4 linked regions of the Drosophila melanogaster genome follow. The protein of the gene in region 4 interacts with the protein of the main gene of each other region in a pairwise test. Each region holds a gene or a part of one and is shown on either strand. Other genes may lie near its edges.

Evidence for each region.
Region 1: the proteins of Nnk (region 4) and CG8319 interact in a two-hybrid assay, tested with the Drosophila melanogaster proteins (one large-scale study listed by BioGRID).
Region 2: the proteins of Nnk (region 4) and CG4617 interact in a two-hybrid assay, tested with the Drosophila melanogaster proteins (one large-scale study listed by BioGRID).
Region 3: the proteins of Nnk (region 4) and mei-S332 interact in a two-hybrid assay, tested with the Drosophila melanogaster proteins (one large-scale study listed by BioGRID).

Annotation. Positions count from the first base shown.
Region 1 is NT_033777.3:9,623,915-9,631,205, reverse strand, and holds CG8319 (uncharacterized protein), read right to left. Parts: upstream 3,886-7,291; 5' UTR 3,809-3,885; coding exon 3,297-3,808; intron 3,236-3,296; coding exon 2,596-3,235; 3' UTR 2,530-2,595; downstream 1-2,529. Other genes in the region: Calr (calreticulin), read left to right, coding at 441-528, 653-757, 1,026-1,498, 1,591-2,145; CG9427 (uncharacterized protein), read left to right, coding at 4,870-4,971, 5,247-5,537, 5,642-5,779, 5,874-5,984; CG8312 (uncharacterized protein), read right to left, coding at 6,628-7,291.
Region 2 is NC_004354.4:7,100,008-7,107,763, reverse strand, and holds CG4617 (uncharacterized protein), read left to right. Parts: upstream 1-3,272; 5' UTR 3,273-3,369; coding exon 3,370-3,403; intron 3,404-3,459; coding exon 3,460-3,972; intron 3,973-4,034; coding exon 4,035-4,744; 3' UTR 4,745-4,929; exon of another isoform or gene 4,930-5,054; 3' UTR 5,055-5,209; downstream 5,210-7,756. Other genes in the region: fz4 (frizzled 4), read left to right, coding at 1-383; CG8300 (uncharacterized protein), read right to left, coding at 1,650-1,970, 2,372-2,608; CG4615 (uncharacterized protein), read left to right, coding at 7,242-7,490, 7,565-7,755.
Region 3 is NT_033778.4:22,118,753-22,126,565, reverse strand, and holds mei-S332 (meiotic from via salaria 332), read right to left. Parts: upstream 4,466-7,813; 5' UTR 4,366-4,465; exon of another isoform or gene 4,004-4,365; intron 3,664-4,003; 5' UTR 3,569-3,663; coding exon 3,092-3,568; intron 3,031-3,091; coding exon 2,302-3,030; 3' UTR 2,199-2,301; downstream 1-2,198. Other genes in the region: GM130 (golgi matrix protein 130 kD), read left to right, coding at 1-357, 413-925, 985-1,806. UniProt on the Drosophila melanogaster protein: Plays a central role in chromosome cohesion during meiosis and mitosis by preventing premature dissociation of cohesin complex from centromeres after prophase, when most of cohesin complex dissociates from chromosomes arms.
Region 4 is NT_033777.3:17,801,327-17,808,875, forward strand, and holds Nnk (nicknack), read right to left. Parts: upstream 3,924-7,549; 5' UTR 3,843-3,923; coding exon 3,729-3,842; intron 3,671-3,728; coding exon 2,715-3,670; intron 2,653-2,714; coding exon 2,530-2,652; intron 2,331-2,529; coding exon 2,204-2,330; 3' UTR 1,899-2,203; downstream 1-1,898. Other genes in the region: CG17806 (uncharacterized protein), read right to left, coding at 469-604, 661-1,679, 1,730-1,840; CG17801 (uncharacterized protein), read right to left, coding at 4,411-4,522, 4,583-4,696, 4,767-5,563, 5,621-5,743; Odj (oddjob), read right to left, coding at 6,328-6,652, 6,710-6,829, 6,890-7,549.

The sequences.
Region 1 (7,291 bases), 8.2 Mb from region 4:
TTGTTAAGTAGTAGAAGAATTGTTATTGGAGTAATTTTATGTTTTCTTAGCTTAGCCTGCTGCAAGTGATTAATTGTATGCCAGAATATATTAATTTTATATATTTTATAATTTAATTTAATTAGCAAACGGTCACTTTAGTGTTTCTAATTCCAGCTCAAGCAATCGATAGCGACAGGGCAGCATGCGATTGCTTATCGAAATCAGCCCTGGCCGGTGAAAAAGAATACGTAGACATCCCTGATTGGCCTGATTTGGGCCAATGAAAACGTTCCAGCAAACCAATTTCAGTAACAAGCCGTCCCGCTCCGACACGCACGATTTAGATGCAATAAATAAATAGCACTTTCTTGCCGGCATTTAGTACTTAACTTTAACCGAGTTCGGACAACCATCGGAGTTGGAAGAGTCAGTCCAAAAAGTGGTGCGGGATCGTTCACATGATGTGGTGCAAAACAGTGATAGTGTTGCTGGCGACAGTCGGCTTTATTAGTGCCGAGGTTTATCTGAAGGAGAATTTCGACAACGGTAAGTGGTAGTCATCGCGTTCTATGGCCGCCATGTGGTCCTCCGCTCCCCTTCAATGAATAACGAAAGGAGAGACAATAAAAATAGAAGAATAATAAAAGCACTCCCCCGCTTGTTCCCGTAGAAAACTGGGAGGATACGTGGATCTACAGCAAACATCCTGGCAAGGAGTTCGGAAAATTCGTCCTCACCCCCGGTACCTTCTACAACGATGCTGAGGCCGACAAAGGTAGCGTATATGTGTCGATGTGTCGTCACTCCCTTTTCCAAATCTTTCTCTTCGCTCGTTCTGCCATTTTTATTTTTCGTCGGCGTGTTATCTGCATTTGTATGTGCCCGTGTATGCGGAGAACATGGGCACGAAGAAGAAGAGGAAGAAGAAGAAAAACCACTACGTGTACGTTTTCGAGTAGCTATAGTAACTGTATACACATTTTTTCTCGCCCCCCACCTCCGCGCGGCGCGCATTCGTATTGATGTGGACACACATTATATAGGCATTCAGACCTCTCAGGATGCTCGATTCTACGCGGCCAGCCGCAAGTTTGATGGCTTCTCCAACGAGGACAAGCCCCTCGTGGTGCAGTTCTCCGTGAAGCACGAGCAGAATATCGACTGCGGCGGCGGCTATGTGAAGCTGTTCGACTGCTCCCTCGACCAGACCGACATGCACGGCGAGTCGCCGTACGAGATCATGTTCGGCCCGGACATCTGCGGACCCGGCACCAAGAAGGTCCATGTGATCTTCAGCTACAAGGGCAAGAACCACCTAATCAGCAAAGACATCCGCTGCAAAGATGACGTGTACACCCACTTCTACACGCTGATTGTCAGACCCGACAACACGTACGAGGTGCTCATCGACAACGAGAAGGTGGAGTCTGGCAACCTGGAGGACGACTGGGACTTCCTGGCCCCCAAGAAGATCAAGGATCCCACCGCCACCAAGCCCGAAGACTGGGACGATAGGGTAAGTTGTAAATCCCCGCCCAAATCAGACTTTAGCCCATCGAAAAACCGGTTTGGCTCATTGTTATTAAACAACAACGTAAATCTCTGTAGGCCACCATTCCCGATCCCGATGACAAGAAGCCCGAGGACTGGGACAAACCAGAGCACATTCCCGACCCAGATGCCACAAAGCCTGAGGATTGGGACGATGAGATGGACGGCGAGTGGGAGCCACCGATGATCGACAACCCTGAGTTCAAGGGCGAGTGGCAGCCAAAGCAGCTGGACAACCCCAACTACAAGGGCGCCTGGGAGCATCCCGAGATCGCCAATCCCGAGTATGTGCCCGACGACAAGCTGTATCTGCGCAAGGAGATCTGCACCCTGGGCTTCGATCTCTGGCAGGTCAAGTCCGGCACTATCTTCGACAACGTCCTGATCACGGACGACGTGGAGCTGGCCGCTAAGGCTGCTGCCGAAGTCAAGAACACCCAGGCGGGCGAGAAGAAAATGAAGGAGGCCCAGGATGAGGTGCAGCGCAAGAAGGACGAGGAGGAGGCGAAAAAGGCTTCCGACAAGGACGATGAGGACGAGGATGATGACGATGAGGAGAAGGATGATGAATCTAAGCAAGACAAAGATCAAAGCGAACACGACGAATTGTAAGGACGTCTAGGGAAAATTACGTCGAGAAATATTCGGTATTTTTTGTGTGTTGGTAGCTGCTTTGATGTTCTAAGCAAACGGAAACCACAATTACAATTTGTAAGACTTATAATTTATAAACATACAACTTGTTGTTTTTTTCCATTGCTCTTTTCGAGCGATTTAAGGGTTGTTTAGCTTGTTTATCAAAATGGTGGTGCCACGTGAACAAATCACGGCCGAATGGCAACGCTGTCTATATCGTCGTGTCTACATCGAATTTTGATTTACAGAAAAACGGTGTTGCCACTCCAAATGGTTTTCAAAGTGCTGTTCGAATTCTACGAAAATATAAATCCTAAATTCAATTAAATCCCAATATGAACTATAGAAACAATGAGATATAAACATAACCGAATCCTAATTTATTTATTCGAGTAAGCCGTGGTATTTGGTCAAGAATTTAAGGTATCACTTTAGCTTTAGCTTTTGATCTCCATCCCGATGCTTGCCCAGAAAGTGCCGCTTCAGATGATGTTTCTCCCGGAAGTCCTGCAGGCAGATGGAACACTTGTAGGGCCGTTCATCCGAGTGGCGTCGTCGGTGCTTCGCCAGGTTATTGTTGTCCGAAAAAGTCTTGGGGCAGTGGGGGCATTGGTAGGGCTTCTCGCCCGTGTGTATGCGGATGTGGACCTTAAGGGCCTGCTTGGAACGGAAGTTGGACACGCAGAAGGGACAGGCATGCGGCCGTTCGCCCATGTGCGCATGGATGTGCACCTTGAGGGCCGACTTGTTGAAGAATCCCGTTTGGCAGTATGAACATTTGTGGGGTCCGTTTCCCTGTTTCGATTCCGCGTGGATCAACAGGTGCGCCTTGAGGTTTTGTTCGCGAGTAAAGGCCTGCTGACAGTGGGGGCACTGAAAGGGCGAACGCTCCTGCATATCCTTGCATTTGTGGCTGTCCAGGCTCTGGGTGCTTGAAAAGACCTTTAAGCATTCCGGGCACTCGACGGTGGAATTGCTATTGCGATAACATTGGTGGTTATCCAGATCGGCCTTGAACAGAAAACGCTCTTCGCAGTTTTGGCATACGTGTGAATTGCTGTGAACCCTGTGGAATGAGATATACAATTTTAAGAACAGGTGAAATCATATGTATTGATTGTAATTACTTCATGTGGTCCAGGAGGTTTATTTGGCGCTTGAACTGTTTGATGCATAGTTCGCATTTGAAAGTCTGATTCTTTATACTCCTTAGCTGTCTGCCAGCTCTACTGGTTGTTATGGAAGACTTGGTTGTTCTGGAAGCTGTTTGATGTGTCTTTTTAATTTCCTTGTTGAGTTTCTTCTTTGCTTCCAGATTGCCTTTGTCTGGGTTCTCAATGAATAGGAAATCCTCCTCGTTGGGCTCGTCCTTGATGACCTGCCCATTTAATATCGCCAAATAGAACTTCTTGTAGTTCTCTTCGCATCTTCGCTTGAATCCGTAAGCAGTTCGTGCATCGTGGACACAGGAAATGCACATTTTTTGGGGCATAGCGTCGTCGGGATCCAACTGCACGTCGGCACATGTCTTCACCATCTCAGCGAGCTTGGCTCCATCAACATATTCTTCCACCTGATCGTCGAAAATGCCCAGCATGTTTTCCGAGGCCCCGCCACAAATTCGACACAGGTCCTCCATTGCTTAACTGCTGTTTAACTACAGGTCATATTTTTGGTAAACAATAAACTATGGTATAAACTTTTGTGTGCTTCTTTGTTTGGCTTTGGCTTAATAGAGATGAACTTTTCTGCCGTGACTTTAGTGACTCCAATTTTCGATCACGGTATTTATAAATGAAAGGTAAGCAAAGTTATGTTGTTAATAAAATAACAAGAAATTGAAAATAGTAATTCATTATAATTCATAGTTGATAATTTAGATTCATTGAGTCACGGTTTTTAAAAGTAAAATCTATCGATAACTGTAGCCACAGTCGCCAATCGATTGCATTTAAATAGTTCGCGCTACACCGTTTAGACTCAAATAAAGCAAATAATTGTATTTTAAACGCTTCCGTGAAATTGGCCATGCAAATTAGTTTGATATGGAAAACGTAGTTACTAGTTGGTATATTTATTGCAGACATGAACAGACTAAGTGTGAATATAATACTATCCTTTATGCTGTCTCTTCTGATATGGCAGACTTTCACATATTACTCGGTACTTGAAAATATATGCCAGGAAATCAAGGAGCAGCTTAAGTTGAATATGAAACAGGTGAGATACTGTATCTTTAAATTATGCTTATCTAACAAAGAAGTACATAAATATAATACAATAAATATAATAGCATAGTTATTGACAAGTAATAAAAAGTTTATTAGCCTTCATAGTAACTTCTTCCCAATATTTGCACTAAGCCAAAAGTGTTAATTATCGTATTGCGAATCCGTTAAATGTATGAATGCTTAGTTAAGCTTTTTAAATCGAAATCAGGCTGAGTCAAGAAACCGGCTTGCCTGCGAGAACGTCGATGAGAGGTGGTAAAACAGCTCTGCCCGTTCCCAGTTCGCTGCTAGCCAAAATTAAGCACCGAATGTGACAAAACGGCGGCGCTCAGTTGCTCAACTAAAATCGAGTCCGACGGTCGCGTTAGCTTGGGCTTGGCATTCGCTGCGGACACAGAAGCCTTCATTCCCGCACTTCGTCGAAGGTCGATCGATTTGGCTAACCAAAGCTCAAATTACTAGTCACAAGATGACGAAGTTGGCGTCCACCGCAAGCCTTCTGCTTCTCGTTCTGTCCCTCGGATGGGCGAAGCTCGAGGAGAAGCCACGGGAGAAGCGCCAGTCCAACAAGGTTTGATTGCAATCCAACGCCTTTGGCTTTTTTGTTTACATTAAGTGAACAAATTCTTTTAAGCTGTGTTCTCTATACTATTTAAATTCGGCTAGAACTAGTAATATGATTAAGAAAACACTACTTTCTTTATGTAAATTTATCTGAATCTAGATTCTAGAATTATTCAGTAGCCCAAAATGAATAATTACTGGTATAATGCGAAGCCTAATTAATAGTTAAGGTGAAAGGCATCATATGATTTTTATCTTTCGACTGAATAATTCCTTTTTTAGCTGCACATCACCCTCCTTTACGAGTCCTTGTGCCCGGACAGCAGGAACTTCATGCATCAGCTAGGACCCGTTTACGAGGAGTTCGGGGACTACATTGATATACTCTTAGTGCCCTTCGGAAAATCGCAGTCGGAGCGCAATGGTGCCATCTTCCACTGCCAGCACGGACCGGCTGAGTGCAAGGGCAATCGCCTCCAGAGTTGCGTCATCAACAGCACCGCAAACCAGGCGGCGCAGGTTAAATTCGTGGTGTGCCAGATGCTAGCTCCGGATTATTCCCGCATTGATCAGGTAATCTACCTTCCGCGTACTCGTTGTGCTGTGTTTGCCCAACTGATTAACGCCCATTGTGTGCATTGTACCCATTATATATACCTTTACCATTCCATACGCAGTGTGCCAATGAGGCAGGCCTGCTCACCGATGTGGTCCACTGCCTGTCCAGCGAGACGGGCACCAAATTGCAGCTGCAGGCGGAGCTGGTGACCAAACAGTACAGCCCGAGCTTCATTCCCACCATCGTCTACAATGGCGTAAGTATGAGTAGCCGCGATCAATCGTCGCCGTAATCGAATGCACTCAACTGGTTTTCTTATTCACATTCGTATTCGTTTCCACATGCAACAGGTCTTCGATCAGCAGCTGCAGGACCATTCGCTGCGCGATTTCCGCGGCACGGTTTGTTATATGTTGCGTCAACAAAACTTGCTGCCCAGCAGCAGCACAATCTGCCAGTAGATAGATCTGCTAAATGTCCAATGTAATTGCCTCAAGTTTGGAATGAAATTAAAATTCATAAACGCACAAGAATGCCTGTCCTCTGGGGGAATGGAATCGATATAATCACAAGCGAATCAATAAGGTCACAGAGAACAAACAGTACAAAATTGGTTTAGGTTCTTTCTATTTTAGGGCTATAATTCGTTCTAAATGTAACATAAATCAAATTTTGATATCATATATATATAATTTAACCAATTGTTATTGTTCACACTTTCCTCTGTGCAGCACACACACCGTTCAGATAATAATTTATATTGATAAGTAAGATACAGTTCATCAATGACAATCGTGTAAATGTATATAGTACATGCAGTGCGTAGGGCGACTAATTTATTTACAAATGCGTACAATATAAATTCATTATTTTTGGATCAAGGGGCACAGATTTAGATGATGGGATGGAAAATGGGGGATGGGCGAATATCGTTAGGTTTTCCTCTCGATGAACCAACAACAAATGACTTAACGACTAGGTGCTAATAGCTAATCTACAACTAGGATTTCAATTTCTTGCACTTTGTGTTTTGCTATGGTCGCTGACGGGTGTGCAGAAATAACAATTTGTAGACGGGTTTCCGTTGTAATTAAAGCATTTCGCTCAGACAGCGGTGCCCGGAGCCTTACCAGCGGATGAGCCCGCTGAGGCGCCGGTGGCCACCGCGTTGAGACTGAGCGAGCGACGTGGAGCCGGCTTTGGTGGTACCTGCGGCTTGACGGTCGCAATCTTGGCCAGCGTAACGCTTGCCTCGCTGATCAGCGGCTGCTGACCCGGTCGCTCCTTCTCCTGGAACTCCACGTAGCCGCTCTCGTCGCTGTCGCTGTTGTCGTCATCCGGATGGTCGCTCCTCTCCTGCTTGTCGCTGCCGGAATTGCTGCGCTTCAGTGTGATGCTGCTCGAGCTGCTGTAATTGGTGGCATCGCCGCTGTTCTTGCGCAGCTGCTGCTCCAGTCTTTGGTAGATCATCATCTGCTCCAGCACTTGCGCCTGCTCCAGCTCCAAGTCCGGCGACTGCTCCAGCTGGCCGGGATCGCTAACCCGCTTGCTGTTGTACTCCTCGTGGTTGGCATTTGTGACTGTGCTGGCCGTCTCGCAGCCGCTGGATATGGAACCCTCGTCGCTGTCCGGACTGGTCAGACCCTGCTGGGCGGATCCTCCGCCCGCTGCCGCCGAAGTGCTGGCCGTCGTCGAGCTGGACGCGTTGGAGGAGATCGATGACTGCGTCTGATGGCGGTACTTAAGACTCGTCTGATCGGCCGCCCGC
Region 2 (7,756 bases), on a different chromosome or scaffold from region 4:
GTAGCTCGCGTGGATCGCATGCGGCTTGCAATAGCACGGTGGTCTCCTACCATTCGGTGCGAACTTCTATGGCCAGTGTTCCGTTGCCGCCAAGTCCGTACAAACTGAAGACTTCGCCTGGTACCGGCTCTATATCGCTGAATCAGATGTCCAACTATTCGCTGGGCAGGAGCGTGCATCACCAGCAGCGCCATTCGCCGCATCATCATCATCACCAGCAGCAGCAGCATCATCAGTTCCATCCCCACCACAATCACCAGCATCACTCCACATCCTCGCATCGGCTGTATTATCCGCCAGGTAGCTATGCCTCGCAAAAGTACAGCCAGCACGGCAGCTACTATCCCCACTTGCAGCAGTATGGCAATGAGACGCTACTCTAGACGGAATTGGATTAGGTACCATTTCAGGGCAGGAAATGCTTCCTGCTTCCAGTCAATGTTCCTGCAGCAGCTGCTGTGCCAAAGTCAATCCTCTACTATAACTTAATGCGGTTTCGGGTATCGAAAGAGGCAAAGCAACTTAAATGGGTGGGGAAACGGTCCAATTTGTTTGTCATAAAACGATCGTGAGATAACGATATCGTTATTTCGATTTTAGTTGCTTTGCCTGTCCATAGAACACAATGGGGTAAACCGATCTATGTACTGTGTATATAACCCCGGAAATGTGCTCTTAGTGCTTTAGTTTGGGCCTTTATCGCGAGGTCATAGGTCATCTACAATGTATTTGTAATTGCCCTAGATGGGCTTCATATCCTATTTTCCTGTGTGTACTTAATGTTGCTCCTAATTAGTTGCCCCTTGCGTTGCCTTTTTACCATTTTGGTGTAACCAAATTCAATAATCGCTCTTGCCTTTTAGACATTAGGACTTAATGTGTGTCGCCTTTGCGTACATAACACATATATACATATATATATTTAGCATTTTTATATAAATTCTTTTTTTTTGAGTTAGAGAGAGAGAGAAACGCGCAGCAACCAAATACTGTGATACGCATGTTCATGTCTTCAAAAACAAAAAAATAAAAATGGGAACCAGAAACTAGGTTTCCAACTTTGCTGTCTTCTCCCGATGCCGAAACAAGTGTACTTAACAATCGAAAAAAAAAAACGCAATTGCAATCGTAGCCGTAATGCCTAATTGTATTCAGTGTGCCATTAGCTTTAGGGACTTAACTGAAACGAGTCAATATCATGAAATTACCTTAAAAGAGTCCTTTTCCAGCAACGAACTTTGGCGGAATTACTGAGGGTTTTCCTTCAACTTCTGCTGATTTTCGCACAGAAAAAGTCCTACTTCTAAATGTCCAACTAACTAGCTAAGAAACTAACTAACCTTTATACAATTGCGGGCTAATACGAATCGTATGGAGCCCGCGACTAACAGTATATGTATTGTATTGTATTGTATTTTATATGTGTATTTTTTTTATTATCATATATGTATATGTATAACTTATTTGCTAGCGAATAAAGTGTCGAAAAGTTAATATCTGTTTTGATTCATTTCGTTTCGCATGGTTTTTACCAAGTAAAAGAGTCTCCAAGTGTCGCCAGTACTCCATGAGCATTTTGTTTCGCCTTCCTGCCAAGAAAATCGCCACCTTGCACAACCCACCTGGCAAGTGGGTGGCCCAGTGGGCGCCTACTGCCGTGTGGGTGGCAAGGTCGCCTCGCTGCGTGTTGGTTCGCATAGGACGATGGTTTCGTTGCGATTGTTGTTGCCGCTGCTGTTGTTGTTGCTGCTACTGGTCGTGGTCGACATGGCCCGCGGGTGCCAATTGTCAAGGTCCTCGTCGCCGTGCTCCTTGGCCCTGTGGTAGTTCTCCAATTCGCTGGCATACTTGCTGCTGGTGATACCAAGCAGGTGGGCCAGCCCACCGCCCACATAGTCGATGCCGGCCAGGAATCGGTTGCCCATCCTGCTGGCCTTGTAACGCAGGCGTGGTCCCAGCGGCATTTCGCTCTAAAAGGTGGCAAAAAAAAAAAAAGCGGGCTAAATGAGTCACGCTAAATGGTCAATGAGGAGGGGGGCGGGGGGTGGCAGCTGCTTATCTTTTTCGTGGCCCTGGGCCCTGTTTGTTTACTTAAACAGCTCAAAACACACATTTTCATTGAAAGATATAAAATTTCTCACATTATTATCATAATTCGCTTCGAACATTAGTCACGTCTCGAGCTCAAAGTGAAAAGTTATTATCTGGATCAGGAGAACTGGGCTAATCTTGAGCAAATTTAACTAACTGTGTTAATCCGGACAATCCCGCTTTAAAAAAGGTAAACAAGCAATGCAGCTACATGACCATGTACTAAATGGATGGCCGGAAGTGCATTACTCCACCCATAATCCTTGCTGAATGTATGTACCTCGTTTAAATGGACGTCGTAGCATTTGTCGCCCATTTCCGCATCCGCCTCGTCCTCGCTGCCCGAGGACAACTCCTCCATGACGCCGTCGCTAAAGTACAGCATGCGCTTGTTGGACTGCAGTTCAAGGGCGCTCACATTGTCCGTCTCGGATGCACTTGCTCCACTCGCAGATGCCAGTTCCAATCCTCCAGCTGCACTGCGTACTTCGCCACTCTTGTTCCTCTCCGCTGACATGGCTATGGATAGCTCTAAACCCGATTAAGTACCGCCTCGATTGATTGACGCTGCGCGAATGTTTTTGCTTGCGCTTGAGCTTCGTTTGAATCGCAGCCGCCGTTTTGGTCATGAAAAAAGCGGACGCGGGTCAACGCCAAATGCGTATACGGCCGGCTGGGGGCCAAAATGTCCTTGGGTTGGGGGCCACCGGCGAAACGACTCACAAACGGCGAGAATCGCGTGCCATGGGGCGCTTGGCGCAGTTAGGTGCAAAGCAAATCGATAAACTAAAAGCCGCTTTCAAACAGCAAAAAAAAAAGTCGAAACAAAACAAAGGTGCGGCAGTGTGACCAGCTGATGGTTTTTGCAAGCTAACTGGATATTAATTTAGATGTATTGTAATAAAAATGAAATTGCAGTCGTATATATCGTAAATGTTTTTGTTTATAAAAATAATTAATAATATAATAAAAAAATTAAGTTGTGCGTGCACATCCTGTGCTTATAATTTAAATAATATAACAATAAAAAATATTATATTATTAAATAATTAAGTTTAATGGTTTCCTACTCTGTACAATTGACTGGTGCAATGGTTATTAACTTAGCAATATATTCAAAAACTAAAATGGTTATCTAGTGTTCCATATTTAACCATCGCTTGCAATGCATCGCGTTTTAAAGCTCTGGTCACACCAAACAGCTGTTTTGTTTGCTTCGTTTAATTCGTTCTTTTTGCAACAAATTGCATCCCAATCTTCCAAAGCAGGTATCCAAACATGGAGTCCCCAACCTCGCACCTGGTGGCCAAGGGTGAGTGGAAAAAGCGGCAGCCGTCAATGGAATCGGGGTCATAAATTCCCAATTAGATTTCCAGGTGACGGGTGTTTCGCGCAGCGGACGCGTACGCAAAAAATCGTCGAAATTGTTGGATTTTGAATCTCCGGATGAGATCGAGAAGCGCACAAGGCGTCACAGTGGCGCCAGACAGCCAGCCAGATATTCGGGCCGCGGCAGGCCATCGAATGCGCTGCGTGATCTGGATCTTGACCAGGAGATGCTCGTGGATGATGGCATTATCTCGGATAGCGAGGAATTCCATCCGGATACAACGGCAACGGTCGTGGCCATTCTGAATTCCGACGATGAACTGGACAATCTGGTGCAGGATATCGTCGATGGTGTCCAGGCGGAGGCCACCAGCCAAGAGTCATCCGTCCGTCAGAGTCTTTACATGCGCGAGAAGTCCAACAAGCGGCAGGTGCTCAAGGACGGCAAGGTGGTGAGTGCCAAGGTGCAGCGCAAGGACAAGGGCAAGCAGCGCTACACCGCCTACAGTCTGTGGGCCAAGGAGGCGCGACAGAAGGATCTCCAGGATCTAGGTAGGTTGCTACACATCTGTGCGCTCTCTATCGCTTATTGACCATTCCCCGCACGCTTGCAGACTTCACCAGCGCGACCAGACGCCTCAGCGAGCTGTGGGCGAACGTTTCCAATCGGGACAAGAACACCTGGCGGCGCAAGGCCAAAATCGAGGCGTCCAGGGCCAAAACTCGCGACAAAACCGCTGCAAACGGTGCAACCCAGCCGGCGAGCAACGGCAGCACGGCTCTGGCAGATGCCACGCAGCACGAGACGATCTTTCAGAACCGTGCGACAACAAGTCGCACTCGAAAACTGGCCGCCGATCGGCAGCAATCCTCAATAGAAGCGGCTGCCGCAGCGGCGGCAGCAGCAGCGACTGGCACCAACACACAGCGGCGCAGCATCAGCACACGAAGTGCCAGGTCGCAGGTCTCGAAGAGCGCGACGAAACAAGCGCAAGTGCACACGGATGCGGACGTCAGCGGCCGGACTGGGGGTCAGCTGAAGCAGGAGGAGGTGCAAAAGACCAGCATCGAAGTGATCGATGCGGCCGCACATCTGAAGCTGCTCGGCGAGAGCCTGACTGTGATTGGCGAGCGACTGAAGAAGCACAATGGATACGTGGCGCTATCGGGCAGCTTGTCCGTGCTCCTCGACAGCCTGCTCTGCGCCATGGGACCGCTGCTCTGCATGACCACGCAAATACCCGGCATGGAGAACAATGTGCAGTTGAGCAAAAATCTGGCCGACACGCTCGACAACATCGCCTACGTAATGCCCGGACTATGAAGTAAATTCCGGATTGCAACTGCAAATGCATACATATATATATATATATAATCATACCAGGCCGCTGCGCTTCCAGCGGCGACTAGAGTCGCCATCGGGATCTGTATGTTTGTAAGGAGTTGGCCAACCTGGAAATAGTTAATCGCATTAGATATGCCTAGTTGATAAACTGAAGCATCTAGATCGTAAGTAAAAGGTCTCCCTCTAATTGAGTTTTTTTTTTATTTGCTTCTTGAATTGAAATTCGTACGCTAAAAAGTTTAGTAGTTCACTTATTTATTTCCACTTTTTGTTTTTTGCAACATTTAAGCACAAATCATCGAAACATTGGTAGAATTAGGCAACATTAAATATCCTATAATCCTTAAGTGAAATAAATGTGAATCACAAGATTCTTATTTCAGCTTCAAATTAAGCAGGCACTTTTTATAATAAACGTAATAAATAAAGATAAATATAAAAGCTAAAAATATGAGATGATTTCTTCCTCTGCCCAAAAATCTTTATAAAAGTGAAATATTTTTAAAAATGATCTCAAATAAGCCATAATTGAAGGTTCGAATAGTGGAACTATAAGCTAGATATAAACTTTAAATATTTATAAATACGTTAATTATTTGCTTACTTTCTAGAGATGGCACTTCGCTGGTGCGCCATCGATGACTTGGCTTGCCGTTACAACGGCGAGCTATCGATGTTACATCGCCGCCCTGCCCACCACTAGCCAGTCCGCGGAAAGTAAATAAGAAGACGGACGCCAAATCGAATCTTCCCACATCCCCGGATGCAGTGCAGCAAGCTCTGGGTCCCTGAGAATCCTGCGTGGGCCTGGGATTCCGAATCCTCTTCCGCCCCGGATCCGCACGTCAGCGCGGCATCCGCATCCGCCACCGCTTCCGCCCACGCACAGCATCCGCAGCCACATCCGCGGCAGCAAAAAAACGGTGAGTTTTCCACCTGCATTTTTTTTTGGATTTTCCGGGGGGGGGGGGGGCAGCAGCTGTGATTGGGATGGAAAATACTTGTGTAGGTGGACGGTCAGGTTGTAGGGGCGAATTGCGTGACGGCAGCGCTACAAATTGGATTAGTGCGGCGATTGATTCTGAATGGGAGATGTAAACAATCTTCCTGTGCACTGAGAAAAATAACATGGTAAAGCAAGGCACAAAAAAAGATGGAAAGATTGGTTGAATAAGATAAAATAGGTTTAAGACTAAGCTGAAATATCATTAGCCAAAAAACATGAATGTGAAATGAATTACTTTAAAGGATTCTTAAGCACAATTTGTTTAGAAAATAAATTCGATTCAGTAACTGTTAAATTCAAAGCTTAAAAAGAAATGGAATACCTTGCGATTTGCAGTCCAGACATTTTCTCGCAGTGCACTAGCTCCCCGCCCGCTGTTTTGTAATTGGCAATATAAGGAATGCCCGAGGTATCTATTTTTATACCGCTTAGCATAGTCGTTATGGTGATAAATTCCGAAGGGGGGGTGGGGGGTTTGTTCGTTATGCTTTTCAACCCCGTGACCTCCCACCGCGCCCAATGGGGCATACTTTTGGGGGCGCCGGGAACTGGGAGGTGTTTTAATTCCACCATCGTTGGTTTATTGAAAAGTTGTCATAACTCAGAACAGACAAGCCAGCAAAGTTTCGAGTCCTCTCAATTGCGGGCAAATACAGGCAGATCTTAAAACTATAATGTTTCATTAAATTCACGCCGTCATTGAATCGAATATCGTGTTTTCCCGTTGGTAACTATCTAGATATATGAACTAATTTAAAAGGAAAACTCAAGGTTTTTATGTAAAACGAACGCGTGGTTTTTCTAGCAGCTCATTTTCATTTCAATTGAACTTTAAGATGAGCTTAAAACTCGCCTTTCGCATTTCAAATACCAAATAATTGGTAAACATTGCCATTTACACAATCAATCATATTATAACTTCTTCGGGTAATGAGAATGAAAACCTTTTCTTTTGGATTGAAAGTGCAATCGGATTCCGAGAGACGCCATAATCATAATAGTGCGCCCGCGGATGGGCATATGTTCATTTGTACATACATACATCTCATCCGAATCGGACTTTGAGCCATGTTCTCGACACGCGAGATAAGCGGCCGGCAATCAGAGAACTGGTTTCAATTGCGGATCGGGTCAAAATCGCCCAACCTTGGGCCATTGTATGCAAGTTGTCTGTGCGAAACTCAATGAGCATAAATTAGTCTCAATGCAGGAATGCCTCAAGTGTCCGGCCGCTCGTCCATTTCCATTGTCCAACCATTATTGCAGCTGGCCAAGCGCTGGCTTATCACTCGAGGCGAGGCCCAAAAGGCGAAGATAGAGACGAATGATAATCAATTGGCCATAAAACGGGTGAAGTGTGGATGGTGTTTGGGTTAGCCGGGTTAGTCGTCGTCTGTCTAATCGAGTGGCAATCAATCAATTTGGCAAATCGGACAACCAATTCACAATCTAATCCACAGTCTATCCACGATGAGCAACAGCGAAGGAAGCGGCCACGAAAGTGGAATCCGTACACTGAATCGCAATGCGAATGGAAACGGCAATGGAGACCTCAGTCTGATGCAGGATCTGCAGCATAAGTACGCCTTCCTCGAGAATCTCTTCAGCAAGTTCTGGAAGTCTATCATCAAGTCGAATTCCAATCTCAAACTGCAGTTGCGCAATGTCAAGTGGAAGAATGCCAAGGCGAAGCCCGGCTGTGCCTACCAGCCAACGGAGGTGAGTTCTATACATTGTATGTGTACAGTACACCTGACGCCTAAACCACATTTACTCTATCCAAAAAAAAACAGATCGAGCAGGTGGCCAATGTGATTACTCACGGCATTTGGATACTGCCCGCCGTTTTTGCGGCCATCAAGCTGTTTGAACGCTCCTCCAGCGCCAGCCAGTATCTGGTTGCTTGGGTCTACGGCGGAGCCCTGTGCATGCTCTTCACGGTGTCCACCTTCTTCCACTGCTCCTGCTATTGCGCCGAGCACAAG
Region 3 (7,813 bases), on a different chromosome or scaffold from region 4:
TCAGACGAGTCTAGCGTCACCACAGACAACCGAGTGGAGTCGCTGGTGCAAACACAATACATGTACGAGCAACAGATACGCGACCTCCAAGCGATGGTGGGTCAACTAACGCAGGACAAGGAGCAGGCAGCTGGTCAGTATCAAAACTATGTGCAGCATCAGAGTGGCGAGATCGCCAAGCTCAACGAACGAAACACAGAACTCTCAGAGGTACTGAACTCACTGAGGGAGCGAGAACGCCAGCTTGTGGAGCACGTGGGCGCCCTGGAGCGGGATATACAAAAGAACATCAGCCTGCAGGCCCAATTTAAAGAGGCCAGTCAAGTGCAGCCATCCAAGGAAGAAACCAGCGAGCAGGTAAGTAAGCCAAAAAAATATGGAAAACCTGTTTAATCTCCTAGTTCAATTTCAGAAAGCCTTAAAAGATGAACTGGCTGTCTTGAAAGAGCAGATCGAAAACTTCGAGTTTGAGCGCCACGAATTCCAGCTGAAGATCAAGTCGCAGGACGATCAGCTGCAGTTAAAGAACTCGGCTTTAGACGAGTTGGAAAAGCAACTCGAACGCTTGCAAGCTGAGCAGCCCGATCAGTCCAAGCTGTTGGCCACCATGGAGTCAGACAAAGTGGCCGCATCGCGTGCCCTAACCCAGAATGTAGAGATGAAAAACCAGTTGGACGAACTGCAGCAGCGATTTGTTCAGTTGACAAACGACAAAGCCGAGCTGGTCATCCGCTTGGATTCAGAAGAGTTTGCCAACCGAGAAATCCGCCAGAACTACAACAGCATGGAGCAAAAGCTTCAAGCAAATGAGGAGCGCTTTAAGTTCAAGGATGAGGAAATGATTAGACTATCGCACGAGAACGTGGAACTACAACGTCAGCAGTTAATGTTGCAACAGCAGCTGGACCGTCTCAGGCATTATGAGGTGGGTTGGACTGGGATTAAAATTTAACTGACTTTATATCCCATTATCATTTCTTTCAGGCAAAAGCTTATCACGCCGGTGAGGAAACCGAAAAAGAGAATGGAGCAGATGCACCGGAAAACGAAGCAGAGGAAGCGAAGGAAGTTGGTCTTTTGCATAATCATTCGCACGATCACTCTCATCAGCATTCCGACGGTCATTGTCATGATAATGACCACGATCATTCCCATGAACATAACCATCATAATGCTGGTGATCATGGTCATCCACATGATCATCCGCACGATCACACACATGATCATTCACATAGCCATCCACACGATCATCAGCATGATCATCCACATGATCACGGCCAGAACCACGCCCACAGACAAGCAGCTGAAACGCTGCCCACCGCCGAGGCCGTGGAACGCTTGCAATCGCGTTTCACCACACTGATCAGCCAGGTCGCCGACTTGACGGAGGAGAAGCACAGCCTGGAGCATCTGGTGCTCCAGCTGCAGAGCGAAACCGAAACGATTGGCGAGTACATTGCCCTCTATCAAACGCAGAGGCGCATGCTAAAGCAGCGTGAGTACGAGAAGGCCGCCCAAATGCGTCTCTTGCAAGCGGAGCGAGAGCAGCTGCGCGAGAAGATTGAGGCACTAAACAAGCTGGTGGTCAGTTTGGGCGTGGAGCTACCCGCAGATGCCGCCCAGGCAAAGCAACCAGAAGCGGCCGCAGGTAGCGAACACACTCCTGGCGAAGGTGAAAACTCGCAACAGATCATCAACAAGATACAGGACATTATCAGCGAGATCAAGGAGAACACGGAGCAGCCAAGCCACAACCATGCAGGAGACCATCTCAACTGTTGTATGGGCAAGTTCGAGGTAGTCTAAAAGAAGTGCAATTATCGCCTACCTACGTATAATCATTACCCTTTTGCTACTGTATTTAATTGTAATTGTAATTGTACTTTGTTCTTCAGAGTCTTTTGTAAATGTTTCCAACAACTTTGTGCGAATAAACGTAGTTTGCATCTAAGAGGAATCTATAAAATGAGTTCCCCTAAAAGCGTATTAACAAATAATTAATTGAAACGTTGTTTTATTCACAAATGAACATGTAAAAATTAGACGTACTTTTAAATTCCTATTGGCATCTTTGGGTGATGATGATGATGGAGTGTCTTCCTTCCGATAGCGCTGGATGAACTGAATATGCCCTCTATTGCAGGCAAAAAGTAATCCGATGTCAGCTTTTAGTCTATAAATTAAACTTATCAGGGCCTGACGATTTAAAAATATTATTCATATTAAAAATGGTAAAAAGTGGTATTGAAAACCAATGAAATTACAGAAACAACATTAAAGCCTATTAAAAAATTCGTCTATCTACTTTTTGGCCTTGGCCTTGCCTTTCGAGCCATTGCGCAACTTGTTCTTCAGACTTGGCTCCACCAAACTGGTGGGCCTGCAGCTTCTACTCGGCCTTGCGCTGTTGTTGCAGAAAGAACTAGACATATCCGTATTTTCTGATTTCTTATTAGCCGCAGTTCGGCTTCTAGTTCTTATAGATGGCATTTCCTCGACGAGAAAGGATTTCGGAGTGCTGGTGCTTCCGGCCATTTTGCCTATCCCATTGAACAGGCTTCTTCGCGGCGTTAATCCGTTGACATCAGGAAATATTCCAGACGATTGACTAGGCCTGGTGACTGCCAGTCGTGGGCACTGTATGCTTGGCTCCTGTGGAGAATCTTCCACAGCTACGGAAATAGCCAACCATGATCCCTTCCCAGTCTCTTTTCCCCGACTGAGGGACACTGCTACAGGGATATTGGTGTCCACTTCCCGCAGAGCCCGTCCACTGGGCGTGACGGTGACTTGGGCGTTTGGCGGACTACTTTCAAACGTTGTGTCGCAATAGATGGCCTCGCATGATGATGACGAGTCTGTGGACTCCCCTTCACTGCCATTTTCCTCTATAATGCTAAACAGACGATTGTTCTCTTCATTTTGCTCAGTCTGTGTCTCCTCCACGGGGCTTACTGCTTCGTCGAAATCATCGTCCGAGTCGTCCTCATCAAACACTAATTCCGCTGGTCTTCGTGGCGGTGGTGTAGGCTGTACTCAAGCCGATAATGAATCGTTAAGAAAAGCATAATCAAATTTAAGTATAAGTTACCTTGTTGGCTCTTCTATCCTCTGGTATCCTAGTGGTCACCACCTCGGACTGCACTTCTGCGCTGGAGCGGCGACTAGTGGACGATACAGTACTGGTCACTGAGGAAGATCTTCTTGGCGAGATTGGTCTGGTGGTGCGGGCCAACGCACACGTCCGTCGCATGTCCTTGCAGATTTCCCTGGAGCTGCGACGCGGGCCGCTTGGTCTGTTTATCTGAGCTGCGGGAGCGGGCTCCTGACGCACTGCCAGGGAATCGGAGTCCACGTTCAGGCTCAGCATCAGGCTGCGTACGATACTGATGTTCTCCATGCGCTGGCGATGGTTTTGCAGGACGTGCTCCTCCCGAATGTCCATGATCTCTCGCTCCAAAGATATCACCCGCTTCCTGTACTCGCCGATCTCCAAGCGCTGCTTCTGCACTTGGTCCATTAGCTCCGCATTCAGCAGCTTGTACTGCTGCTCCACTTTGGATCCCATTTGCTTCTTCTGATCTACTTATTCCATACACAAAATCCAGACAGACGACGCCAATAGCTTGTTTTGAATTTTGAAATAGAGTGACCGTTGTTGTGCTATTGGAATATACCCCAGCTTAAGGAAAACTTTTTGAAAGTATGGCAACGCCGACCATGCTCTTAATTAAAATGAAATTCTTTAATTTTGGGCCATATATATAAGAAACAATACAATCCGATGTGAATATATTTTATTTTAATAATTATAAATTTGTTTGTCTCATTTGCACGACAAGAATTAGGAACCGTTGAGTTGGTGCGAATTTGATCGTACATGCGTTACCAAGGGTAATTTTCCATTTAAATTCTACACGTATGCCAAAATGCTAAAATTTCGCTTAGTGGAAGCTGTGTATATTGCGGGACACCGATTTCGATAGGCACAAACCATCGAGAGACATCGATACGTCTATGTTTCTCTTACACCTCTAAGCTGCACAATAAATTTATTGTTTTCTCGACCGATTGCGAAGAAAATCTGGATATCCGTGGTAGATAAACAATGCTGCAGCGCTAGAACCCGGAAATCGAAGTGAATACGCGTTTCGGGAGGTTGTAGATACACCTTGCAGAACGCGAAAATCGCACTGAATCAGAAGTCAGCCCACCTGGCAGTGTGTGCGTGCGTGTACGTGAGTGAGAGTGTGCTGTCGCAGTGTGCGTGTGTTTGTGTAAAAATGAAAATCAGTCGGATTTGTATCGTCGTTGTACGTCTTTTAGGCATTTAGCCAGGCTTTTACACATTTCTACAATTCTTACCAACAGTGGGAGGGACTTTCCCCCCGCACTCACAGGACACGATACACATCACATGCAACACCTGTGCACTCGAAAAACGATAGACGGATCTAGCGCGCGGATTAACTTAACTTAGGAACACGGATACGGATTATACACCATAGTTTCGGAAAAATACATTAGGGAACCGCTTGCTATGCTGTTTCATCTCCGCCAGAGAATCACGACAATCACCTGCTGAAACACCGAAGACAGCCAGCAGCCCAGAGAACCGAGAATTTCATTCACAGAAGCTACGACCGCAGTCGAAAACCGAAACCCGCTTCAAGGTGAGTCTGTTTGTAAATCCAACTCGTTTGGCTTTGTACCCATTTAGTCGATTGAGTGCATCACTCAGCACTCAGAATCCGAAGTGGTACGGACTTATCGAGCGACCTTATCAATTCTATTTCGCACGGTGCCCAGAAATTTGGTAATTTATGGCAAGTTCAGGAACCTCTTCGGTACCAGTTCCATGTAGGCAATTATCTTATCGCGCCCTCCGACAATTTCGCCACGATATTTGCGACTAATGGTTGTGTGTATGTAAAATTGCATTTTCCAAGATATGGGGCTATATCTTATAGCCTCGAGGTACACAATAAACAAACACATACCAGCGTTAGTAGGCAGCTGTATTTAGACTTTTTATAATATTTATTCATATGTCCATATTCCAGATTAATCACCATTATTTGCATATATTCTAAGTATAGCCGACAGTCCATGTCTTGCCCGATTTGATTTAATATTTGAGCTTGCATGAAATTTATTTTTTCCTGTGTCGGAGAACACGAAAAGCCTTTTCCACCGTCTAACCGGCTAAAAGGGGTGCAATAAACTCGGGTCGCTTTGATTTTCTCCTGTTCCGTCAGCGAATGCACTTTGTTTTGGTTTGTTGTCGCTTTGTCTTAATCACATTAAGCAAAACGCCCGGGCACGCGACGCATGACGACACCAAGTGTTGCAACACCAGCGAAGACCCATGGAGCATGTGGCCACCCATGCCACCCCATAACTGACCTACAAAGAGTGCATTGCTCGACGGCCGACGAAAACTAAATTCGCTGACTAGGGGTTGATTCATTCGCTTGGCTCCCTTCAGCGATGTGAGTGCGAATTGTGGCGGTTGAACTTCGATGGTATGACATAATCTGGGCTCTTACTATAGCCATTTGAAGAGGCATACAATCGCAATCTTTACATTAGATTTATTACTTGTAGAGTTAGTCACAAGTTTTAGCTTAAGCGTGCAACTTCTGGTGTCGTGGTACCGGTGTCCGGGTTCCAGTTGTCCAGCACTCCCATTAGCTGAGCAACGAATATCTGATAGTCGAGGAACGTCTTGTTTATATTCTCATTTCTAAAATGCTTTACTACTCTGCGATGGTGGAAAACAGATATCAAAACATTGAAATACAAGACTATAGAAGTTGTTATAAGTAATTTCTTTTCTCTGTACCGAAAATAACCCTCGTGGCCAATTTAGTGCGCTCTTTAAACCATCCACAAGTGTGAATGGGCTTCGAGCTCCTTTCCGTAATGCTATGCATGGCACAAAGGGTCGTCCCAGTCGCCGGGTTCAATGTCATTGGCGTGGCGTAGGCCATGGCAGCGGTGGGCACATGGCACCGACCCATCCCAACGTCCCATTCCATGGCATCCCGTCCAGGAGTCTGCCTGCTGCCGGTCTATTGTCGAGGCTGTTGTGCATGCCCCACTGCAAGTACACACAGAAATATCGAGTGCTGCTGCAGTGACACACGCAAAGACTGGTGATTGAAGGGAGGGTGGAGGTGAAGGTGTGTGGGGCACGGGGTGTGGATATGGGGTTTTATGGCCACGGGGAGTGGGCACTTGTCGGCCTTGTGTGCGGCCATTTGTCAGTCGAATTGGCTGTCGTGCATTTTTCGAGCACTGCATCACACGAGGTCTGATTGGCACGTAGTAGAGAGAGAGAGTCGGTCGTTTCTGTCAGCCTTTATGACGCTGAATTATGCTGCACTTCCTTGTGCAACCTGGAACTGAATCATAAAACTACAGTGAGCTCTCCAGCACACCGATTTCTGACTACAGTTTCGAGCCCCATGCCGAGGGCTTTCGCTTCCTCGGTGCCCCGGTGACTCATAGTTTGTGTTTGACTTGTGTTCACATCACATTTGCAGTTGCACTGCGAACACTCCTCTCTCTCAATGTGCTTTAAGCATGAAAGTAATTTTTTTGAAAGTGATTCAATGTTCAAAGAGGAAGACCAACTTCCCATTTCGAATCTTATCCGACTAAAAAATGAATTGGCACATGAGGATGTTTAGCTGAGTATTTATTTCTTAGGCACTTAGAATGACCGGGTTGTTGTTTCTAAGAGCTGTTAGTGGCTCTTTTTTTCCATGTGTAGTGTATGCAAACTAGCGAACCCAACACCGTTGTTGTCATTGAGTTCATCGTTGTCTCGTCTCGACTCTCATGATGTGTTTACATTAGTTATTTAAGCATTGTGCGACGGTGCTGAAAACCGCATTTTAATAGACCCGCCGGCAACAACGGGCTTAGCAACTGAAACAGCCACATCAAGTGCAACAATGCAATATTTATCTGTAAGCAAATATGGGCCTTACATCACACACGCGCAGCAAGCGCTGATGAGGTAGCCGATGTGGCAAAGGCAGAAGCTTCAATTACAAAATGCAAAATGCAAATGCAAAATGATGCATGGTGAAACGCTTAGATCAGAAGTAACACGAAACGCAGTGTTTAGGCTCATAAAAGGCCATTCAATGCGGTGTATTCACTCATATGTGGGATATATACTCGCAAATGAATCAATACAAGGTTTTTAAGGAAGGTTGGGAGTAACCTTTGGGAATAACAATAAAGATGTCAAGCTATTATAGTTTTTGAAAATCATCTTATTTTGTATCTAGCGTTTAATATGACTAATATTACAATAAACCAGTTCTGGCGCTATTGCTGATCAGAGAGGTTGAGGCTCAACGGCTTATGAGTCATTTGAGCGATCTGAGATCTGTCAAGAATAAATTGGAAATGTGTTTTTGATAGAGAAATTCGGAATTTGCATACTAAATTGTATTTATTAGATATCTGACCTTTTCCGCAGTAATGTTTTCGGCATAACAAACTCTGCCACTGGAGCGAAGGCACTTTGTGTATCTCTGAATTATCTGAATTTGATTCACCTCAAAACATTCGCCACAAAACGTTTTTACGTCAGCGGGCCTCTAGTATAAACGGTCATTCACAAAAAAAAAAAAACTTATAAACAAAATCGAGTTGGATGAGCTATAAAAACATTGGCATAAGAAATGCTTTCGGAGCGTGTTGTCTTTTGCATTTGTTGCTCCGACTAATTTGCACTGCGGTCACATATTATTATCGTACCGCGTGGCTTTTGGAATTTCAATGATTTGATGAG
Region 4 (7,549 bases):
ACTGCGCACTTCATCCTTTGCCGGCAAACTGCGAATTTCTGCAAAACAGCAAGCACAGTTTGCAGGGCTGCATAACCTTGAACTAGGGGTTGAACTCCAGGCTGTGTCCATGTGCGTAGCCAAGAGCACTTTTCACGGGCGTAGCGATTTTAGTACGGTGCATATGGCTTTAAGCTTTTTGTTTACTTTAAGCACTTGTTGAGAATAGCCCAATTCATTATTTTAATTATATTCTTTATTGAAAATTATTGATGTTAGCAAAACCACAATTTACTGCTATGCCATATCTTATTAGGAAACAAGGGAAGATAGTCGAGTCCTCGACTATCAGATACCCGTTACTCAGCTTGGATGAGGGAGCAATTTGTAACCAATTTTTATTGACATCAACTTTAGAAAGTTTCCAGAGGGGCATTTTGCATGTCAATAGCAGAACATGCGAAATAATCCTCTCAAGGAACCAACGATTTACCCATCCGCTTGGACAGTAGCATCCATTTTTGGCATTTTTGACTGCTCCTCAACTTTCAGGCGATGGTGCTTCGACTTGTAGTGGGTGGCCAGGGCGTTCCTTCTATTGAAGAACGTTTGGCAGAGCTCGCAGCTAAAGAAAATGTATTAAGTAAAGATCCAAACAGTGTCTGTTTGACCGTAACTCACTGGAATGGCTGTTCCCCCGTGTGGACCACGATGTGGTCCTTGAGAGCCGTCGAAGTCTTGAAGGCCTTCTGGCATGTGGAGCACACGTGTGGTCGGTGGACGGGACTCTCCTTGTGGTTGCGCTCGTGGTTCAGCCGCTTGAGGCAGTTGTCAAATCGCTTGCCGCAGTACTTGCACACGTAGGGCAGCTCCCCGCGATGCTTAATCCGCACGTGCAAATTGAGCAGGTGTTGGGTGAACTCCATGCGGTCGCACTCCTGGCACTGGAACTCCTTGGTGCCCTTGTGCCGTCTGAGGTGCACATTGAAGTTGCCCTTCTCGCTAAAAGTTTTGCCGCATTGGTCGCAGAAATATAGTCGGTGCTCCAGTGCATAGGCTCTTTTGGCAGCTCCCCATTTGTTTCGTGTGGCATACTTTTCCTCTTTGGTCTTATTGGTAGTTGAGTCAATATTCTCTATTTTAGCCATGTCCTTGCCAGGACACTCCTCTAAGCACCCTTTGCTCCTCGGTTTTCTTCGGTTTTTCTGTACTTCCCCGATGACTTGTAGTGTTCTGGGCTCTTCCTTCATGACTTGGGGCATTTCGGATGCTGGCTCTTCGTGATTCATGGACTCCACTGGATAATCAGATGAAAGCTGAGGCTCGCTCTTCACCTGAATAGGATCCTCGCACCGGAGAGGATCGACGAGATCGGCAGGCGGTATTTCCGGGACAACTAAAGGGTAAATTGGGGTTTCTACTGTCTTAAGAGGCACTCCATCCACTTTCTTGCTGCGTTGTGGTAGAATCCTTCTCCTTTGCGGCTGTGCAATACTAATGGGCATAACATCCACCCTACTTTCTAACCTGTTATTCCCGCCTTCCCTTGCAGTCTCAGTGTCCGAATCCTCTTGTTTGCCCTGCTTTTCGAACCAAGACGAATTGGTCCTGATGCAGCGCTCCCGGAATGCGATGGCATCGTTCAGATCCAGCAAGCAGGATAAGCAGATCCTCGTTGGCACACCTGGCTGGTTCCTCAACTGGAATCGAAGAGGGAATGACTCCGTGGTTACCGGGAATAGTCACCTACCCAAAAGCCCGTCAGCTTGAGGATGTTGCTCAGGACATCTCTGGCCTCCTTATCGAAAAGTGACTTGGCGTGCTCCGCCTCCTGGCCACAGGTGCGGCACAGCGTGGTCATCCTTTTTGCAGTTTCAACTCAATTGTTTAGTTTCCGCCAAGTAAACAAAGTTGGACTTCTGTTTACAGAATAATCTAGTTTATCATTGTTTTGTGTGAATGGCACATTTTAAAGTGAACTACAAGGAATTAGTTCTTCCGATTTGAACTGTGGATTTGTTGTAATAAACGTTAAATATTTAAGAGGATGAAAGATCCACTTTCAAAACTGATCGATACACCCAAATCACAGTCAGATATCTTATGATATTTCATCTTATTAACTTCTTAGAAATACTTTTATACTAAATTATTATAATTTTAACAGATAAGAACATTAGACCTCTAAACGGATGACAACACTTAACAACAAAACATTTGTACCTTATTTATTTTTGGAATCAATTTCGGACTTAGCACTCATTGCGATCAGCTTATTTTGATGCTGCCTGGAGCGGTAGTGGGTCTTCAAGTTCGAGTTCCGTGTAAAGGACACTTTGCAGACCTCACAGCTAAGGGGAAAGTAGATAAAAACAAAGTTAAACATTTGAAAAAGTAACTTTTCAAGCAGGAAATAGTTAACTTGATTGCTGGATGTAGTGGATATTAGGAAGTAAAGAGTTACAAAGTGGGAATAATAAGATGATTGATACTTAAAGGAATATGTTAGGAGAAAGAAAAATCTAGCCATATATCTTCACAAGATCTTACTGGAAGTTACGCTCGCCGGTGTGGACCACCTCGTGCTTGGCCCTCTGGTAGTTCGACTCGTATCGCTTGTCGCAATAGTTGCACTTGAAGTTCTTTGGTGTTTTCTTGTTCCGGTGTACCCGGCTGAAAGAATGGCAGTGTTCGTAGGTGCAATTTAGGGGATTTAAGGTATGCTATAGACTCACTTTTCGTGGCGCGATCGCATAGTACTGTGCACAAAACGCTCGTCGCAGAACTGGCAAGCGTATGGCTTCTCTCCGCGGTGCTTCACCCGAATGTGAATGTTCAGGATGTACCTGTTGAACTCCTTTTGTCCGCACTCAGGACACTCGAAGGGCTTGACGCCCGAGTGGCGCAGCACGTGCAGATTAAAGTTGCCCTTGTCGGTGAATTTCTTGCCGCAATGGTCACAGATGTGGACCTTTTGGCTTATGTATGTTTTTCGTTTTTTCTTCGCAGGTTTGAGAAAGTCGGTGTCGTCGTTTTTGGGAGATGATCTCTTGGTGTATTTTCGACGAGGCTTCTTATCTTCGTCAAGGGCCGATTGACGCGATGTGGCTTCTATATCTGACATAGAATCAGCATCTGTATCGCTGTCGCCGTCCTCGTTCTGCCAAAGCTCGTCGTCGTCTTCCTGTGACTCCTCTTCGTCCTCCTCATTTTGCTGACTTTCCTCCTCATCTGGCTGTGACTCCTCACATTCCTGTGACTCCTCGCCATCATCATGTCCTGTCTTTTTATCCACCATATCCTCATACTCCTGCTGTTGCTCTTGCTCATCATCCTCCTTACTGAAGGGTATTTCGCAGGCAATATCTTCAAATTCCTTGTTCTCATTAACCTCGCTTTCTTCCTCCTCCTTCTTGTACAGGTCGTGGTCTTCCTCCAGTCCTTCATTATCCGCATAGGACACCTCGTACAACACCTCCTGCTCCACTTCCGCATCGTTGATCTTCAGCCCCTCGTGCGCATCGCTCAGCGGATCAGCCCAGCATCCGTCATCCTTGGCTTCCACACTTCGGCGCTGGATTGTCAGTCGATTGTTGGTCTTGATGCAGGCTTGCCGGAAGGCAATGGCGCTCTTCAGGCTCAGCAGGCAGCAGGAGCACATATTCCGGGGCATCTTCGAGTGGTCGGTGAGCTTGAAAACCAAACGAGCATTAGCGGTTTAAATTTGCCAATTTAATTTACACACTCACCCAAAGGCCCGTGACCAATGCGATTTGCCTGACCATTTTGCTGTTCTCATCGAATATGTTAACTGGATTTTGCGTGTATATTAAATCTCCACACAACCGGCATTGTGGCGTCATTTTTAAGAGTTATTTTTCGAGCCAAAATTCCTTGCTTTATTAACAGCTGCTGCTTCATTTTGGGCCATTCGCAGCGAACTGTTGTTGTTGTCCGCGTCTCTGGGTGACTGCCAAGCGGTGGCGCCAAAATTTGAAAATGGCGCCTTTTATTCAAGGGTCGTTATGGAATATACTCCAAGCATTTGCTTTTCGTGGCAAATAGGAATTACCAAATATATTTACCACTTCAAAAAAAGAATTAAAAATATATATTATACATAAGTTTTCTGTTTTTAAATGAAAACGATTAATTAAATAGTAAGGTATTTAACATTTCGAAATGAATGGCTGTCCAAATATTACACTCTTAAAGAAACTACTTCATAATAGGAAAAGCAAATGACAAAAATGTAATACAAAAAAGTTATAGCAAACGAAGGGCAATCCAGTGCCAAAACAGTGAGAATACGTTCAAACATTTATGTCTAATAGATATCCTGAGCCTCAGAATTATCCAAGTCGTGCTTTCATCTACATATCCCGCATCTTATAAGACGGAATTAAAAACGATCTCTAATTCTTTGGCGAATCAATGCTCTTCGGATTCCAGGATGGCGCTGGCTCTTTTCTGGTGAGCAACCGAATCGAAGTGACTCCTTAGCGTTGCCTTTCGGGCAAAGTTGATTTGGCAAATAACGCAGCTGAGAGGGAAATACACGACTTGTATTAAATATGCGCAAATTTCATATCATTTCACTTACTCAAAGGGCTTAAGACCTGAGTGCAGGAACTTGTGCTTATTCAAGCAGGTCTTGGTATTGAATCTCTTGGTGCACTGGTCGCATTGGTACCTCAGATCTCTGATGTGCCGTATTCTGTCATAGTGTTAGGAAATTGTTTATGTCAGCGCTTTTAAAGTTAAATACAATTGCAGTAAGGACTTACCGCTCATGGCTCGACTTAGCTGTACTTGTGAAAAACGTTGCCGAGCAGAAGTTGCACTCAAACGGCTGTTCGCCCATGTGGCGCACTCGTTCGTGTAGACGAGCCAGATACTTGGTGACGAACCGCTTGTCGCAGAACGTGCATGGAAAGTTCTTCTCACCCGTGTGGCGCACCATATGCGTCTTTAGGTTGTATGGAGTCTTAAAGACCCTTCCGCACTTAGGGCACACCAGGGATTGCATTTTCCGAGCTGTCCTTTTTGCAGGGGGTACATTCTCAGCTGCCACATCTTCTGGAGCTAATGCAAGGGGCTTTACTACCTTAATAGAGGGATACGTTGTAAGTAGTCTCAGATCGGTTCCAATTTGTATAAAGTTTCCCTTTTTTGGGCTTTTTGCATCGACTTTGTTAGGCAAGTTTTCATTTGCAAATGAAGGAGTCTCAATTAATGGATTTTTATGCTTAAATATTAAGGGGGTTTCCGAATCATAAGGATTATGTGGTTCGTTTCTCCTATCCTCATGGGCGAGATTTAAATCAATATCGGATTCCTCTGCTTTTTTGTCAAATGGATAGTTTTCTGAATCATATGATTCCTCCGATTCCAAGTCACTGGAATCCCCTTCTGGCTCTATATCGGATACAGTGCTTTCTAGATCCTCATCAAGCCCAGATTCCCGCCTCAGCGTTGCTTCATTGTGAACTCGTTGAATGCGCTTCTTTAACTTAATCGATGTGTTCAAGTCATTTAAACAAGATGGGCAAATATGACGCGGCTGGCGTTCATTCTGTTCTAACTGTAAATGGAGTAAATGGGTTATGCCATTCACGCACACAAGAAACCATCAACATACCCATATTCCAGTGAGATCCTTGATCTTGGCCAGAACTTCCAGGCAAAAAATTATCGTGGGATTCAGGTGACAGAAACACGAGGCGCACAAATGGCATTGCGAAGGCTTTTTCATTTCAAACATATGATCATTTATCCCGCTGAATTCCCAAAACAATCAGCTGTAGTTTAATTGATTTTATGTTGTCAATTATGGAATAAAAACGGTAAAAGAGCGTACGCAATCCGAGAATTTCTGTTTACTCTCTCTAAGCAGCAAAATTTGTATGAATTACCTGTTTCATGGCGTTACCAGATAGGTGTGGAAAAACTAACTGTTCTTATTTCCTAGAAACCAGGGAACATCGAGCTAGTTTTTATAATTTAAAATTTATATATTATAAACGGGAGGTTAAATTTTCCCAAAAAGAGAGGTTCAAGCTAAAACACACGTTCGGCTAATTCCTGACGTTTTTGAAATTGGTTCCATATAATTTTTATTAAAATAAGCGCGCTGTGCAATTAGAATAAAATATATTTTATAACAAATTGTAATCTAAGACCGACGTTGAATTCCTTCCACACTGGTGCTAATCGTACGGCTGGCTGGTGATTCAAAGGATTTCTCTGAACCACCGAAAAAGTCAGATAGTTTGCATCCCTGGCATTGTGGCGTGTGGAGTGTGGAGTGTGTGGCGCCAACAGTCGATTTTTTTTGTGTGCTTAAAGTTAGGTGTACAGCTCCTCTCCATCGGGAATGGCTTCCTCGTACTCGAAGTCCTCAAAATTTGCGTCCTCATCCTGAAGTACCTCGTGGTCCTCATATTGTTCCTCGTCAATGTTATCTAACATTACGTCCAGTTCAGCCTGGTTGTCCTCCATTTCTGCCTGCCCCTCTTCCATATATCCCGGAAACTCCGCCGGATCGACTTCAGACTGGAATTCCTCTTTTGGACCATTAACCAGCAAGTTGACCCGCTTGCGGTGATACTTTGTGGAGTAGTGCCGATGCAAAAACTGCGCCTCCTTGAACTCCTTGTTGCATGTGAGGCAGCTGTGAAAGAATATGAGTTTGTACATCTATGGCTACGTATATTTCAATGATTCTTACATATGGACATCCGGTTGGTCACTCTTGTGCCCCTCCTCGTGCTTCAGCCGTCCCTTCTCGCTGTTGAATCGTTTGCCGCATATTTTGCACGGGTGCACCAGCTCGTTGGCATGCATTTGACTGTCAAGGTTTTTATGGTTTATATAGATAAGGACTTGTGATGATTAGGCCAGCACTCACCGTTCATGACGACAGCGGCTGGGACTATTGGCGAATCCCATACCGCAGAACTTGCAGACGTACGGTTTCTCGCCCTTGTGATGGACTCGAATGTGCAATCGGAGCAGTGGCATGGTGTAGAACTTGCGACCGCACTCGTCGCATGAAAACTTCTCCTCGAAGTGCCGCAGCTTGTGATCCTTCATGTTGCTGTGATCGTTGAACGACCAACCGCACTGGTCGCACACGTATCGCTTTATCGAGCGATCGACCTTGGGTTTTGGTCGCCGCTTTCTGGGCTTTCGGACGTGCTCCCGCGGAGGTGGCGGTGGACTATCTGCCTTCTCGACCACAGGCACACGAAGCCGCTTGACCCTGACTCGTGGGGACTGTCTGTTCGGGAAATTTTGGTCCTCGATCCGGATTTTTTTGGCCGGAGGATATCTTAAAATCGGCTTTTCGTCCTCCAAGAAATCCTTATCATCATCCATTAAATCCTTATCATCGTCCAGTAGCTCCTTATCGTCCTCGGTGTCTACTGTATCATCCAGCACCTCCCGTTTCAGCAGCGGATCACTAAGCACTGGCGAAACCTCCGGGGAGCCTTTTGAGGCGACACCCGCCTTCGAGGAGATCCTCTGGTGGAGATTTGCGTGCGTCTCCAGGCATCGCTGCCTGAAG